Linked DNA regions of Lytechinus pictus. The protein of the gene in region 1 purifies or fractionates together with the protein of each later gene. This does not show direct contact. Links are inferred from orthologs where the notes say so. Each region holds a gene or a part of one and is shown on either strand. Other genes may lie near its edges.

The links. Proteins that work in one complex are often made in the same cells at the same time.
Region 2: the proteins of nucleolin-like (region 1) and myb-binding protein 1A-like protein purify together in Homo sapiens (affinity purification with mass spectrometry; 3 studies listed by BioGRID and IntAct, with this or other methods). This does not show direct contact. The link is inferred for Lytechinus pictus from reciprocal best matches to the Homo sapiens genes NCL and MYBBP1A.

Annotation. Positions count from the first base shown.
Region 1 is NC_087258.1:12,360,760-12,368,978, reverse strand, and holds the start of nucleolin-like, read right to left. Parts: upstream 3,367-8,219; 5' UTR 3,281-3,366; coding exon 3,248-3,280; intron 1-3,247. UniProt on the Homo sapiens protein: Nucleolin is the major nucleolar protein of growing eukaryotic cells. It is found associated with intranucleolar chromatin and pre-ribosomal particles. It induces chromatin decondensation by binding to histone H1.
Region 2 is NC_087246.1:16,075,002-16,083,307, reverse strand, and holds the start of myb-binding protein 1A-like protein, read right to left. Parts: upstream 3,331-8,306; coding exon 3,316-3,330; intron 1,542-3,315; coding exon 1,437-1,541; intron 168-1,436; coding exon 84-167; intron 1-83. UniProt on the Homo sapiens protein: May activate or repress transcription via interactions with sequence specific DNA-binding proteins. Repression may be mediated at least in part by histone deacetylase activity (HDAC activity).

The sequences.
Region 1 (8,219 bases):
AACTAGAATTTTTCAGAGTTTTTACTATGTTTTCTCTCCCTCTTTAAAAGGATCTTTGTGCACTTATTTTGTGTTTACTGATTTTATTAAAAAAAATAAAACTAGACAAAGATCCTACATGTATGATTCAAAATTTTCATGCAAAACACAAATTCCATCCAACTAATTTTTTTTTTGCCATTCCATCAGAAAAGTTTTAGGGGTTTCATATAATGTGGCATTAGCAAAGAATTGGAAAAGTTATGCATTTTTGGGATGATCATTTACCAAAACTTCAAATCGGTTATGCATCTCAACTACAACTACAAGTACCTTACCACTTAAACATGATAGAGGGCGAGAGTGGAACTGGTCTGTCTGGAAATTGGTAGGAAGGGCGAGCCGAGTCAGTCATCTATTAAGAAAGCCTGAAGCCGGGCCTTGGTACCATTGTCGCAACCAGTTTATCCACAGACTCTCCGCCAATCATGCAGATTTGGTACTACCTCCCACTGTTCGTAAGAAGTTATTTACATGTAACTTAGGGCCACGCAAGACCCGTACTACAAATGCACAGGCCACGCAAGACCCGTTGTCTCGTATTACCTGCATGATACCTAGATCAAGGGCCACGCAAGACCCTTCACACCATGGCCACGCAAGACCACTGGGTCACTTCAATACCATTTTCCGGCTACCATTGGAGGTACCCAATTACTTACACTCTGGCAACCAACTTTTGGGCCACGCAAGACCCACAAACCAGCCACATGTTAATTTCATATAGCAGGCCACGCTAGACCTCCCCTCTCCAACACATTGTATCGAAACACAATTGGATCACGCAAGACCCAATCTAACCACAATCATAACGTGCATTCATGTAGAAGACTTCGCTAAGCCTTCATTAAATTTAACAAGTCAACATATCTAGACAATTTGCACCACGCAAGATGCAAAAACTGGGACGAAGATTAATGAAGAGCAGCATTCCTCCAGATCCAGGCCACGTCGGTGTACAGCTAATAGTCTGCAGAAGGATAAATTTCAAGTTAGGATGATTTTAGGGGTAATTATGCAGCATGATTGTTGGATGCTCAGACTGTGGATCCACTGACCACTCCTACCCATTTGTGAAATGGACCCTAAAACAATGCCTGACCTCAGGGTACCGGAAACAAGTACACATATTTTCCCCCATCTTAAAGGGGAATCCAGCCTTGGCCATAAAATGTTGTGTTGGGAAGAAAAATAAATTATACAGAATGGTGAAAGTTTGAAAGAAATTATAGCTGCTTTAAAATTGAGATCACTAATATTATGTAGATTTCAAATTGGCAGCTGAGTAAGTAAATTATGACAAGGGGCAAGGACAACTTTCCCATAGGCCATGTACTTTATTATCAGGGATTTGTGGTTTTCTCCTAAGTACCCATTCCCCTGGGGCAGTAATCTAAATACAACCCAGGTAGTATATTGTTTTAAGACCTCATGACAGAAAATTATAATTTGAAATAAAACTTTTGGGAAAAATGACATTTTAGCCATAATGTGTATTGGAGTACATTGAATAGTCCTTGCCTTACATCACTATGACATCCCATATGCGGCCAATTTAAAGTCTCCATGGGTATAGTGATTACCAATATTTACAACTTTTAAAAAATTCACAACTTTCTTGTTGTTTGTCCAATATTGTTCAAACTTTCACCTATCAACTCGTCTGATTTTTCTTTTCCTTATTTGGTTGGATTCCCCTTAAAAAATTACACGTATGCCCCAATAATCTATTTCCAGAGGCAAGGGTTTCATAAACTCGGAAACCTATAATTGTTAGGCCTACATGATTTTTTTTTACATTAAAGTAAAAAAAAAAAAACACTAAAAATTTGATCAAAATCGGACAATAACAAAGTTATGGCATTTTAAAGATTATTCCAGTGAAACAATTCTATGCATTGATGTCACTTGTTCTTTTGTATTTTATTAGGTTTATTCAATTTTTTTCTATCAAGAACTACAAAAAATTGGATTGACCACTGATATAGTGCATTAGATACCGGTATTCATTGCTGCAACTTATTAAAGGAGACACGTTATACACACATGTATGAAAAAATGAAACAATTATGATTTTATGTAATAACATGAGAAAAAGTGGGGATGTGACATCAGCCCACAAAATGAATATTCATGACGACGTGCGACTACAGTATTTTCACAAAATATTGCTTAACTTAAAAATTCACCGACTCCGTTATGTGTTCTCGATTTTGATGAAATTTTCAGCATTTTGCTCTGTGAATTTCAATCTATTTTAAAGTCAAGATTTGTCATAATTTTGGTCACACACTTGACCAAACTTTTTTAGTTACATGTATGACATTTTAAAAATCTAACTCTAGGTAAAGAAGATTTTGAAACCCAGGCAGGATGTTAAGTTTCATTTATGTCCAAGTTTTATCCATATTTTTCTAAGTTATGACATTGATAATTCAAAAACTTAACCTAGTAATAGTATAAGATTTCTATGTTGACGACGCAGGATTGAAGGTGAGACACAAATTAGAGAGAAATTTGATTTCCTTGGAAAAAACTGAGGTCAGTCATTTTTAGATTAAACAAAAAAATGGTGCCCCATGTCTGCGTACCAATTCACTTTGCACAAGTTTCAGGGATTTTGTCAAGCAAGGCTGCATTTTATTTGGGATATTCCATGAATTTAATGCTTTCAATTCAATATTTAGCACCATGTTGAGTCTAAATAATGTTCAGACAAGGGGCACTGTGCAGACTAGTTGGAGCATGTGGCGATCTTGCACCAAAAGTCCAAATCTAGCCAAGTCATACTCGTCATAGATTAATAAAACTCAAATTTGGGCAAACCCCCCCCCCTTAAAAAAAAAAAATGGACGAACATGAATAAATTTTAAGTCAGAGGACACTACACAAGCACAGCATAAGAATAATTAAGTTGTCTGACACTCGGTCTCAGTAAGATTTCAAGACCATTCACCAACCACGGCACGCCGCCAGCCAGCCTCACCACGTGGCCCAGCACACAGACCGCGTGTTGCTTTTTTCTGCACGCAATCACCATTCATGCCTCATGGCCCATTCACGTTCACGCACTGTGTCTCCATTTGCAATTTCAACGATCCCAACATGCCATGAAAACGAAGAATTTTAAGTGTCAACAGGGAGCAGCATGACACTCAAAACACACTTTTCAAACCTTACTTATGGTAATCATGATTAATAAACGTACCTTAGTCTTCTTTTGAACTTTGTTGGTTCCCATTTTGATTAAATTTAGTGGTTCTTTTTTAATCAAGATAGAGCACAGTCTTCTCCGAGAGTTTACGTGATGATTAAATGGCCGAATTTTGCGAGGCGTTGTACGGCGCGCGAGACGTACGTGTCGTCGTACGCATGCACCATAGGCGCAGCAGGCATGCACTATGGCAGCGTAATGGAACAATGCCAATGTTTTCGGAAGGGGGGGGGGGGGGGCAAATCAGTAATATGCCCCTCACCTGTCGTGAAATTTGCCTCCTCTCTTCTCAAAGAGGGTGCGGAACCAGGGGTGGGGTGGCTTCAGCCTCCAATTTTTTTCAAAACCATGTACAAGACGTAAAAATGACCATCCGGGGAGCGTTTCATGAAAGGACTTGTCGGACGTTTTATCTGACAAGTCCCATTTGATCCGACAGTTACTATAGTAACAGTGCCTCTCAGCCAATCAGAATCAAGGAAAGATGTCAGATCTGACAACTTGTCAGACAAAAATGTTGATGAAACGGTCCCCTGATTTTTATATGGACATGCAGCCGCCCCCCCCCCCATTTTCAAAACAGTTCTGCGCCCGGGGGGGCACTCAGTATATAATGCATAGTGGGTATGTGCCGCGGAGGGGACCCCCATTTTTACACTCAAATTTCCGTTCCAAGGCATAGCATTTTTGTCTTATTGAGAAAAAGAACAAAGAAAGCCGCTCCAAGGCATAGCATTTCCTTCTTATCGAGAAAAAAAGAAGAAAGAAATCCGTTCCAGAGCTTCGCATATTTTTCGTTACGCCGTTCCGGTCGCATTGATTTGCTACAATTTTGGTGAAAAGCGGCCGTAGAGCGCTTTTCGACCATCGCCTAAGCGCGAGCGCACCCGGCGGAGGCCGTGCTAGCTGCGTTATGCACGATTGCCCGTTCCATACGCACTCACAGAGATACGGAGATCCGTTCCGAGGACCCCCGTTTTCACAAACATTTGTAGTTCCGAAGCCCGTTCCGAGGACCCTCCTTTAAAATAAGCCCGCTCCAAGGCCCCCGTTTTTTGCCTCGCCCGCGGCACACCCCTACCACTTTTTTGGTCGAGTGCCCCCCCCCGGGGTTCTGCGGCCCCTGTGAGAGACTCACCTATGTGCTTGCTTTGCATATAGAGATTATGTAAGTTGAAAGCTGTCACCAGCACTGAAGGAATTCAATCCGGCAATGATGCCACCTCATACGTGCCCGATAACCACCTACCCCCCCCCCCCTGAGCCAACATTTTGTTATGGGGGGGGGGGTGAAGATGGGATAGGCGGATAGGCCTACTTGAACTTGGTTGATTTCTTCCAAAATACATTCCTTTTTAAATACATTTGCAGTACAGTTTTAGAACCTGGGGTACCTTAATTTTAAATGATATCGCAGCACAGCCGACACCCCAAATGGAGAGCAGTTTGGCACTGCATAACTATATTTCACAACTTTTTACACGGGGTCCAGACAGCTCGACAAGCCGAACAGCCAGATCGGCTGGACAACTCGACCCAATTTCACCCAATTAACACCAAAAATATGCCTGAAGTAATCAGAGCTGACAATTTCATTCATGTCGCTGAAAACTCGGTTTAAAAAAACAGGGGATATCAAGTTTGGTATTGGTGTAGGGCCCCGTTTCATAATGGCATGTTAAGTCCACAATTTCTGTAAGAAATTTGCTATTAGCCAATTATATTGAATGATTTCAGAAGCTTTAAAGGACAAGTCCACCCCCCCAAAAAAAATGATTTGAATAAAAAGGGAAAAATGCAATAAGCACAACACTGAAAATTTCCTCAAAATCAGGTGTAAAATGAGAAAGTTATGCTATTTTAAAATTTCGCTTAAATATGCACATCCTGGTCGGTATGCAAAAAAGAGAATTGATGACACCACCCACTCACTATTTCTTTTGTATTTTATTATGTGGAATATAAAATATTACAATTTTCTCATTTTCATGTGGAACAAAGTTCTATTCCTCCCTGAACATGTGGAATACAATTATTTAACCATTTTGTTGTTCAGTCAAGCCAAATCTGTAAAAATCAAAGTATTGTATAAATTAATAAAAAACAAAAGAAATAGTGAGGGACAAAGACATCGATTCTCTCTTTCGCATAGAACCAAGGTGTGCATGTAACTGTCATAACTTTCCTATCTTACATCCCACTTGGATGAAATTTTTAGCGTTATGCTTGTATGAGTTTTCTCTATTAATTCAAATCAACATTTTTCTGGGGTGGACTTGAGCTTTAAGCTGTTCTTGCAAACTTGTCATCATAACAATTTTCATGAAATGGGCCCTGTTTCATAAAGGACTTGCAACTGTTGTGCCATAATCGCAACTACCATGGTAACAGGGCTCAGCAGCCAATCAGAATCAATGTTACCATGGTAGTTGCCATAATGGCAAAGTTACAACAGTTGCAAGTCCTTTATGTTCGGGTTGGAAGCACAATCAAGATTGCCTTCCTTAGATCCAAGAACCAATGTGAGTTTGCAAATCTCATCCCAATTGATACTGATAGCTCAACATCTAGTAAGATTCATCCAAGGACCAACTTCATTTTTAATTTGGTGCTGTACTGATGATTTAAAAAAAATCAGCCCAGCACCCAAAGGTCAACACCGAACTTCACATCCCCCAGAGCCTAAGCTGTTCCTCCTTTTCTTTGACTTCAGGGGAGAGCTTCATGAAGAATCTTGTCAGGCTTTTCAGCCGATCAGATGCAAGGATTCAACAGTGAACATCACTTGCAAAGAGCTTTGTGAAACTCCCCCACAATCAAATGTAAATACAGTCAAACCTATCTATAGTGAAAACCTTACTTTAGTGGCCAACAAAATTGTCTCCCATTTGAAAGTGATACATGTTTAATAGAACCTGTCTATAAGGTGACACAACATTTGCTCCTGCAACAATTGCTCCGGTCTTAATATATCAGAAGGCATAGGGTTAGACTTAGGATTGTAATAGAGTTTTTGGTTCAGAATGATGTAAATATTAGGATTAGGTTTTTTTTTTTTAGTTTTGGGGGTTAGGTTTTATGTTTCGCTCAATGTGCAGATTTTCAATCGGAGCAGTTGTCACCGGAGCAAATGTCACGGAACCATCTAAAAAATGCCACCTGTCCACAGAGACCTTTTTTTTTTTCTGTTGGGTGGCTGTAACAGACAGCTTTGACTCTATCTCCTTTGTATCAGCACTGCAACCAGGGAAGTTTGTAAAGACTATGATTGGTAGAAATATATGACATGGCACATTACGTTTGATGGTGGACAGAATATTTATTCACAAAATGCAGGAATGTACATGTACATTAAAAACAAATCGAGCTGCAGCACAGTGAGATTTCTGGGTAAATCTCAAGTTGATAGGAAATCACCAGTAGATCTACAAGAATCCCGACCTAACAATGACTTTAACTAAAAGAGTAATGTATATACTTTGTATTCATAATGTATTCAAGACTCCACATTGATTATGTTAGTATTCCTACCCATGAAAAGACGTTAATAAACTTCCATTGAAAACTGGTTGAATTGATGACAATCGCATTAATGAAATTATTGGAAAACTAAGACTCTAAATGGTACCTCAAAGCAGTGGGTAGGTGTTAGTTGGGCAATTTCATGTTCTCTCTTCAGTTTGGGAGAGATTTTTAATATCTTAATGATGAGTATTGGTACCCAGTCCTCTGGTACTTACATGATATGACGTATATTAGTTCTGATAATAAAATAATTGTTTGGATCATACATGACCGACAAGCTGTAAACCAACATAGTTGAGAAAATGGTAGGTCTGCTTGAGGATTGTAACGATTCTGCCATTTCAGCAGACAATATGGAAAATACTAAACCAATTAAATACAAGACAAAATCACATTATTGTAAATAATCACTTTGACAAAAACAACACATACAACATGCACGAAGGGAAAACTCTAGTGCAATCCTAATATTACTGAAAACCCATAATGAAAATAATGCTCATCTGTAGAGTAAACAATCATAAGTGCAAAACCAGTCATTTTACACTGCAAATTGCAACACTTCTATCTCAAATGTGAAATTTCAAGTATGAGACATGGATGGTCAAAGCAATATCATACACCATGTTGTACAGAAATATTATTGGTGCCCAGAAGCTAGTGTTCTAAAAAGATGATCTGAATGATTTCTGAATGTCAGAAATTCATATATTTATTAATCTCCAGAATTTTGGCTAATAATTGGGTCTACCTCAAGTGTATGACTGTCCAAACTGTGTCCATAAGTAGTGTGACATGAAACAAAAGGTCGTTAGAAATTTACATAAACAACCTATTATGTGTCAGTGACAATGTCATGCCCCTTAGTACAGTATTATATGGTCTCTATTTACACCTCTACTGCATTTTTAAATTACTTTTGGCACAGTGGGAGGGTCATATCCTCAAGAAAAATGAATTCTCTGCCAATATTTAGTACTAAACAATGTTACTTTTTACATTTGAATATTGATAATTGTTAGTTCTGTGAGCAACTGTACAGTGTTATCACACAGCAAACAAGATTATGTATAATGATAATCTTTTGAATGAACAATCCCACTTCCCAAACTTATCATAAAGATAGTTGAAATCAGATAGCTATATTATACAAACATATTCCATCAATACACACATAGTTATATACATCATGCTCTGTAATAAGCGGACACAATTCATCGATACTTTCAGACGCGGCTAGGCAATCATTTGATCTACCTTAACACATAATTTCAACAATGATCGTCATTCACCCATCGATACATTTCACTCCACTTCAGTTGGAGTGTACACAACATTCAAGCCTCTGGTCTTTCGTGAGAACACATCTGTGTCCAAGTGTGAACCCTACTTCTCAGTTTCAAAAAACAAAATGAAATATTGGGTAGCATGACTTTCCTCC
Region 2 (8,306 bases), on another chromosome or scaffold:
CTTCTTGGCTTACCATACGACAATTGATCATTAGGTTTGCATGTTATCAAACAGCCTATAAGTGAGGAAATGGTAATGCTTACACTCTTCTTTCCAGACACCTGAAGTTCTTGCTTCATAAGTTTGAATACATCTTCCAAAGCTATCTCTTTCACCTTACAAAGTAACTGAAAAAAGGAGACAAAACATAAAAACAAGGTCAAGTCCATCCCAGCAAAAAAAAAAAATCATATGAGAGAGAAAAAAGAATAAATGACATTTGCAGTTTTGTGTTAAGCCACAAGGTAGGCACATCATGGATGATATGAAAATGAGAGTTGACAATGTCATGCAATCACCAGTTTTTAATTCATGAAATAAGAAACATTGTGAGTTTTTGACATATGACAATAAACAAAAATTGAATTCCAAGTGGGTTTAAACTTTCTTATATTTCATCAAATTTTCATGGAATTATCATTGTAAGGCTTGTTTCATCTTTTTAATCTCTTTTATTCATATCAATGTATTGTAGAGGTGGGCTTGTTTTTAAAAAAGGATGAACAAGAAATACAGAAATGATAAAATTACAGATTCTAAAGCACTGGGCTTGCAGGGCAATTTTGGATGTAATACCCATTTACAGGTATCGCCCATCACCAAAATGAAATGTATTTATGTGATCAATATGCAATGCTCTGCATATTTCGCCCATTGTTTGGTATGGTGATGTGAATATCTCACTCTCCATGACCTGAAAATGCTTGAAGCCAGCAACAGAATGAAAGTTTGGTGCAATACAGCACAATTGGTTGAGGCTCATAGATCTCTGCAGTTGTATTTTGTGTATATACAGTGGTTGTAAAGGGGTACTACAGACCGACATTGATATCTGAATAAATGGAATAAAATTCAGCGCGAGCTTAACCTTCTTCTTCTTCTGGAAACAGTACAGTCCACCGTCTGGTGTATTGTCGTACTGGTGAAGTGCAGCGTGCAAGTGTATGTACATTATCCGATAAAAAATTGCTTACAGCGTAAATATTTCATTTATATCTGATAACATATAAGTTACCGTGTATTGAATTTTAAAGGTACAGTTTAATTTGTTTTCCCGGGGAATCTGACACCATCTGGATATATCCAGAATAGAACAAGATTTATGACCATCAGACGTTATGCAATGGCACTAGACATGCCTGATGGTCATTACCTCAACTTTCTCTGGTCAGACAGGATAGCGGAAGGATTTCTCACTGGTTCACCAAGTTTGCTTCCCAAAAGAGGATCCCGAAAGATTTCTCACTGGTACACCAAGTTTGCTTCCCAAAAAAGAGGATCCCGAAAGATATCTGAAATTTTGCTGGGACTACAACTCAAGTCATCAATCCCACCACCTCCCCTCCAATTTTTTTTTTTAATTAAAAATAATTGCAGCATTTGCCTTTGAAACTTACTTCAGTAAGGGCTATTGCATAACCCTGTCTAGCACCTTTCCTTGATGAAGCTAGACCTCGCACAAGTCTTCTCAGACTATATGATACCTCTGAACAGTACTCATCCTGGATAAAAGAAAAACAAAAACAGTTGATCTTTATAATATTGCATTGTGGTACAGAATACGTAGAGGATGTTAATGATTTTTCAAAACCGATTTCAAAATGTACCTGATAAATCGATCAGTTTGGCCATCTCAAGAATGAAGGAAAAGTTCTTGCAAAGGAATTTTGCTTATCGGTGTCAAACTGACAACAGAGGCCAGAAGAAAATTAATAGGAGAGAATCTCTGTGATGATCACAACTAGGCCCGAGTCATTGATTATTTTGTAAACCGGTGTTCGAAAGCTTCAATTCGATCAAAAATCGATGCATTGAATTTTGAAGGCGGGAAAATCAAATATTTTCATACATGTGGCCAGTGCAAGCCCCCCAGGAATAAAATCAATCCAATATCCAACAATTAGAGTTATCTAAAGGTAAAGTACTTGATCAAAGAAGGGAAAATGGCCATAATAATTGTGCAAAATGGTTGCAGTCAACTTATTTGAGCAAATGGGGGACCGAATCTTGTGCAACATTGTCAGCCTACAAAGAATGTGTTAAAGCCCTCTTTCGTGCATTCAAAAATAAAATAAAAATAAATCCCGCAAAACAGATGGGCACAAAAGCTTCCTCTCATCTCCTTACGAGTTTCCTAGAAAATCAGCTGCGACTAGAAAACGTAAACATGTTGACCATGATATGGATGTTGAAGCTGGTCCAACAGTGGCATCAGTTCTACATACATCGATGGAAGATAAGGATAATGAAATAGGTCAATTGCATACATCTTTTCAAGAGAAGACAGGTGAGCTTGATGCTGCAAGGATTAAACTTGAACAACTCTCCTCCCAGTAAAGTGAAAATCAAGACATCAGAACATGATGCAGATGTACAAGTCTTCTTGTCTGTCATCTTTCCAGCAATGTCTGGTCTTCTAAAAAAACAATACGGTGAGCATCTTCCTGGTGGGGTGCACTTCAGCCCCTCTCCAGACATGTATGATGTAACCAAAAGTGTTGCAAAGCATAACAAACTTGCCGAACGTGTCCTAGCATATGCCGACCATCTTCCGAGATCAAGGCCAAATTCGAATCACCAGAGTCAGGATGATTATGTTCTCATTGAACAAAACTGGTCAGTGGATCAACATGAAGGAGGAAAGAGACCGTCAGAGACTAATCAAGGAAGCTCGAAAAGATGCCAGGAAAATGAAGAAGGTATATGAGAACGGAGAGAAGCAATTGTCCAAAAACGAAATGATCTGCTCAAGGAGAAATTGAGAAAAGAAGCGAGGAAGGAAAAGCAAATAAGAGAAAAAGAGTTGATGACTCAGGATATAATCTTCTATGACCCGTGGCAGAGCAGAGATCAAGTTGAGCAATCCATGCTTTATATCATTTGATTTCCGGGTTTCGGAGCGTCGCGTGAATATGCATGAAATTGCCAAGTCTCGATAATTTTCGATCGATACTGGAGTAGCGATGCCACACAATCCCCTCATTTGCCAGACCCTATTCCAACAGTACACAAAACAGGGGTGGATGAAATGATGTCGAAATCCCTTTTTTCACCATTACATTGTTATATCTCAATAATATGATTGAAAATGTTTACCATTCAATGTTTGTTCCTTTTTTGACGAATAAATGTGATTAATTAGAGGAAATCCAGTTTTCTCACTTCATTTTTTTCCACCGTAGTTCATTTCACGAAGCATTTCTTGTCACTGGCTATCTACTTCCGGGTTATGAGGGTGACCTTTTTCAGCTTGATTTCAATGTTTTTCTTACCCACAATGCACTGCAACATGGCTTCTCTGGAAGGTAAGAACTTTGGCAACTTTTTCATAAGAAATTTCATATTTTTAAATACTTTTGGGGGGCTCTGGAACGGCAGATTTTGATAAACTCGAATTATAGGTGCGATTCAGAGCTGTTTAGCGCGAATAGTAGGGGTATCTTCAATGATGCAGCACTTTTTATCTTATTTGTTGAATCGCGGCGAATGACACCAAACTTGTAGTAGCCATTCAGAGCCACGAATTTTAGCGAAAGCGGTAAATTCAAGGGAAAGTCCCTTCTCAGATTCCGTAAATATCGCCCCCAGACGCGTCCGAGAACCCGGAAGTGTGTTAACGTGTAGTCCCACGTACTGAAAAATGTTGATTATGATGAAATATTGTGAAGAGTGCGATTTAATGTTTGTGTTTTGGTGAGAGTGGCCAATACTATTTATTAAATTGATAAAAAGTGAGATTATATTACTTTACAAATCTATGGCTGGGATGTGTGTGTGGGTTTGTGTTCATGATTTGCAGGGATGAATTAACAGTTAGTTATGATGACAAATGCTGCCCGTATTATCGTATGGCCATATGCATAAGTGGGTGTGACCAAGCCAGGCTGTCATGTGATGTCTTCACCCCCACTTTTTAATTTGGAGCCTGTATCCCTTGTTAATAAGAGTAAGACCCTACAAATAAAAAGCTTGATTCTAGTTTAGGTTTTTTTATTAAATGATAAATGCACAGATTTATTTATGTTATGACCCTTTTCTCTGCTTCATGTTTTTGTCAAGGCTAGACTATTTTTTTTTTCAAACCATGAATACTAAAGCCCTCCCCCTTATCTCTTCCTACACATGCTCTTATTCAATATTTGGGAACCTTTTACTCATGGTGCAAATAATTTTATTTCAAGGTATATTTTGCTTTTCTCCTTTACCTACTTTCCACCACAGCTGCATCATTTTTGCATTTTATTTTGCATACCCCGTGTCCCAAAAATAAATTTGCCAATTTGAAAACCGCATTATTTGCATGTTTTCAAGGGTGATCCACAGTATATGTTTGTATTTTGTATAAAGAATGAAAGTAAAAAATAAAAATAAAAAATGGCTATTAAAAATTATCTTTGCAAATTTTAATGATTATTTCTATATTAATTACTATTCTAGATTATCTTTTTGAAGTATGGCTTCAACACTGGCTCATTATAGAAGTTCAATGATGATACATTTAACAAAAAACAAAAAATCAGTGTGAAATACAAAATAAATTCTATTCCAGGGGCTGCGGAAACAGGGGGTTTGGGGCAGCCTTGGGGCGTTCAGCCCCGTCCTTCTTTTTCCCAAAATCGTGTACAAAAACAAAAAAATTCCCATCTGATTATGATTTTATGCATATTCACCCCGCACCCCCACTTTCAAAACCTTTCTGCGGCCCCGTCTTTATGATGCTAATCCATTTCTTCCCTACATCCATTAAAAGGTACAGAAAGCGCATCTCGCGCCAACGTTTCTCACGCTGATGTTCTAGATTTCGTGAAGCAGCAGAAGAATGTGACTGCAGTAGTTCAACACCTGAAGGGTATTTTTCAGGATAGGTTGCATAATGTTCCGGATAAGTCAATTGGTTCTGCCATTACAAGAGTGAAGGAAAAACTTCAACGTATGAAGAAGGATAAAGTAGCAGCTGCTCAAGAACGGAGAGACCTAATTCTAGCTCAGGAATTTCGCTTTCCAGTGGCGACGGAGAGTAAGAGGCACCCTAGAGGAGAGAATATATGCGATGATCACACACATTGCAAGTTTGAAGCAGGCACAGCCAAGATCTCCGGTGAACTGAAGCAACAGAGCACTCAACTCCAAAAGACAGAAAGTAAGTTGGAAGTAGAAAAAGCTTGCACGTCCAACCTTCGTGCCTCACTGAAGAGGACAAGGGAGCGAGAGAATTATTATCGAGGGAAATGCACGAAAATGAAACAGGATCAGAAAGATGAAGACAGTGAAAGAATAACAGAACTTGAGACCGAGATGGCGGAAATCAAAAAGGAAGAAGTCACTCTCAGAAGTGAAAATAAGGATTTAAAAGAGAGGATAGATTATCTCACCAACGAAACAATTCCAACGTTTGATGATGACAAGCGGTGTTTTAACACAGAACTAACCACCTGCGTCTATGATTTGGACAACCAAGTAGGTGTAACCAGAGTATGATTGAGAATCTAACAGGGAAGAAATGTGAGCGACTCCCTTCCAAGACGACTGTTGAGAATATGAACATTCAGCGTCTCTGTGTGGCTCAAAACCAGCTTGCGAATTTTCCTCAAAAGAAGACACCACCTTGTATACGGACGAGACCTCCAAATATGGCGAGAAGATATTGGGCTACCATGGATCCGACAGTGACAAGAGATATTACGTTTTGGGTCTGAGGGATATTGCTACCAAATCGGCTTCGGATACGCTTGATACGTTCAAGGAGCTATTACGAGACATTGACAAAGCAGCTGAAGGACGCACAGCGGGGCAAAAAATTCTGAAGAACATCAGGAACACCATGTCCGACAGGGCAGCCACGGAACTAAAGTGGCATGAGCTTCTGAGACTGCATCGGACAGAGGTGCTGCCCAATCTGATTGAAAACTGGGACAACCTCACTGCTGACGAGAGAGCACCACTGGAACAACTAACATCCTTCTGTGGGCTACACAGTCTGGTACAGTATGCTGAAGTGAGTGAGAAAGGTCTTTCTTCAGTGGAAAAAGAGCTGTTTGAGGGACAACAGCTAGGTGCTGCGTCCAAAGGATTTTCCTTCATGACAGTAACAGCGTCATCCGATTGATCAAGACATCCTCAAAGGCATTTGCTCATGGAGGCAACAAGCAATCCGGGATGCATGGTCCTTTCAAGGTATATTGTAAGGATTTCTTAAAGGCTCATCATATGAAGTCGCTTCCCTTGGTTCCCTTGAGAGGGAACAGGTTCAACATCCTGTTCTTCAATGCTGCGTACATCTTCTTCCTTTCGTCACAAATGAAAAGCTTCTTGGAAAGCTCCGTTGATGTGCCCAACAAGTTGCTCAAGAGTGTGAAGGCCGACCTAGAAGAGCCATACGTCTTGGCAGGGTGCAGGGCGCTTGGACTAATCAGCAAGCTGGTCACCACACCCCTTTGGAGGAGCCTAGAAGTCCAAGCACATATTAGATATCTATAGATATATATAGGAAGGTTCTAGACACCCTCAAGCAAGGGAGCGAAAGGCCAGAGGAATTCATGAGGGGACCTGAGTGATGTACATATCAGGGTTGAGGAAGACCCTATCTTTAAGTGCCTAGTAAAACCTAGTGAAAGTGATGGTCTCACACAAACAATTCTTCAGAATGCCCTTCCATCTTTGGCAAAGGTAATGAGCACTCATAGTGAATATCTGACAGAATTTGATGACTCCACAAGAGCAACGTCTACTAGCACAGACAAGCATAATAAGCATGCTTAGCGAGTCTTTGCATACCTTGATCACTTGATGAAGGTGAGACCAAATGCCACCCTGCTTGCAAATGAAGCAACCATTGTTTTCACTCAATGAAACATCCGAGTGGTTGCAACAGATGTCCAAGGAAGAGGCTGAAAAGGTGGTAGACGATGCAAGGAAGAAAGCAAGAGTGGTGCATCAAAATTTCAAGGAGAGTTCGTCAAAGATCATTGAGCAGAAGAGGAAAGGCTTGGAAAAGCAAAAGAAAAAGCAATTGAAAGAAGAAAACTTCAAGAGCTGGAGAAGTACACCACTGAGATCCAGTATTATGGTCTGTGGCAAAGCGAGCACGAAGTGGAGATGTTAGCGTCGCTTCACTCAAATTCTTCTAAGATCAATGCACTAAAGGCTCAGCTGAGATTTCGACAGTTTGTGCTAAGACAGACACCTCCCTCGCCAGACGTGTATCACTTCAGTTTGGAGAGGCTGCTCCTTCTCCTTTGAAGAACTGGCAAAGAATGTGAAGGAGCTGATAAAGGCGGCATTCTCCCTCCTTCAGCCAGCCAGGATGGTGACAAGCCTCTTCTTGTTGGAAAAAGGGTGAGAATTACCTCTGTCAGAAAAAGACTGTATACTAGAAATTTGAGAAGATATGCATTATTAAATCCAGAGAATGCAGCATCACATACTCTACGATTTCACAAATTAAAATATAAAATGAACAGATCTTGAATATGAACTGTAAAAAAAGTTTGATTTGTAAGTCCAATTATGCTGCATAATACATGTATGTATTATGCTTTAATACAAAAACACCTCATTTGTTATTCTTGCTGTACGATAATGTCAGCCCATTATGAATCCTGAATATTAAAACTGATTAACATAAGCTTATTTCATTGTATTAGTATGGGTAATCCAGATGAGTGTTAACCTGCTCTATTTATCAAGGCTTTTCAGGTATTATACTTTATTTCAGGTATGTAAATTCATCTACTTTTTTATGTTTCATATGATTTCATTTACTGAATATTTACATCAAATATCTATTCTATTTTGTACATTTTCAGTATGATTTGAGTATTTTGATATCAGTTATTTTGCTGTCAATATACATGTTTATATTGCAATAACATACTTTGGTACCATTTATTGTCTATTTGTTTCCTTATTTCAAATTATTATTTCACAATTTGCATTATGCAATTGTTATATTTTATATTATTGAATATTATTTCATTTTCTTTAGGTAAGTTGTGCATTTGCACTCTTACTATTCTATTATTTTGCCTTGAAAATCAATTTCTCATAAATGTAAAAGGAAAGAAAATGTATATAGGAAATGTACTCATCACATTTATTCCACCCTTATCCCCCCAGGTACAACATAAATTCAAAGATGCTGATGGAGATGAGAAAGAATTCATTGGTAGAGTATCAGCCAGGTCCCTGGCTACCCATCCTGGTATAACGCAACGTACGACGGTGACACATCAGTATACTCCTATCAGCTATTGGATGACTACGAGAAA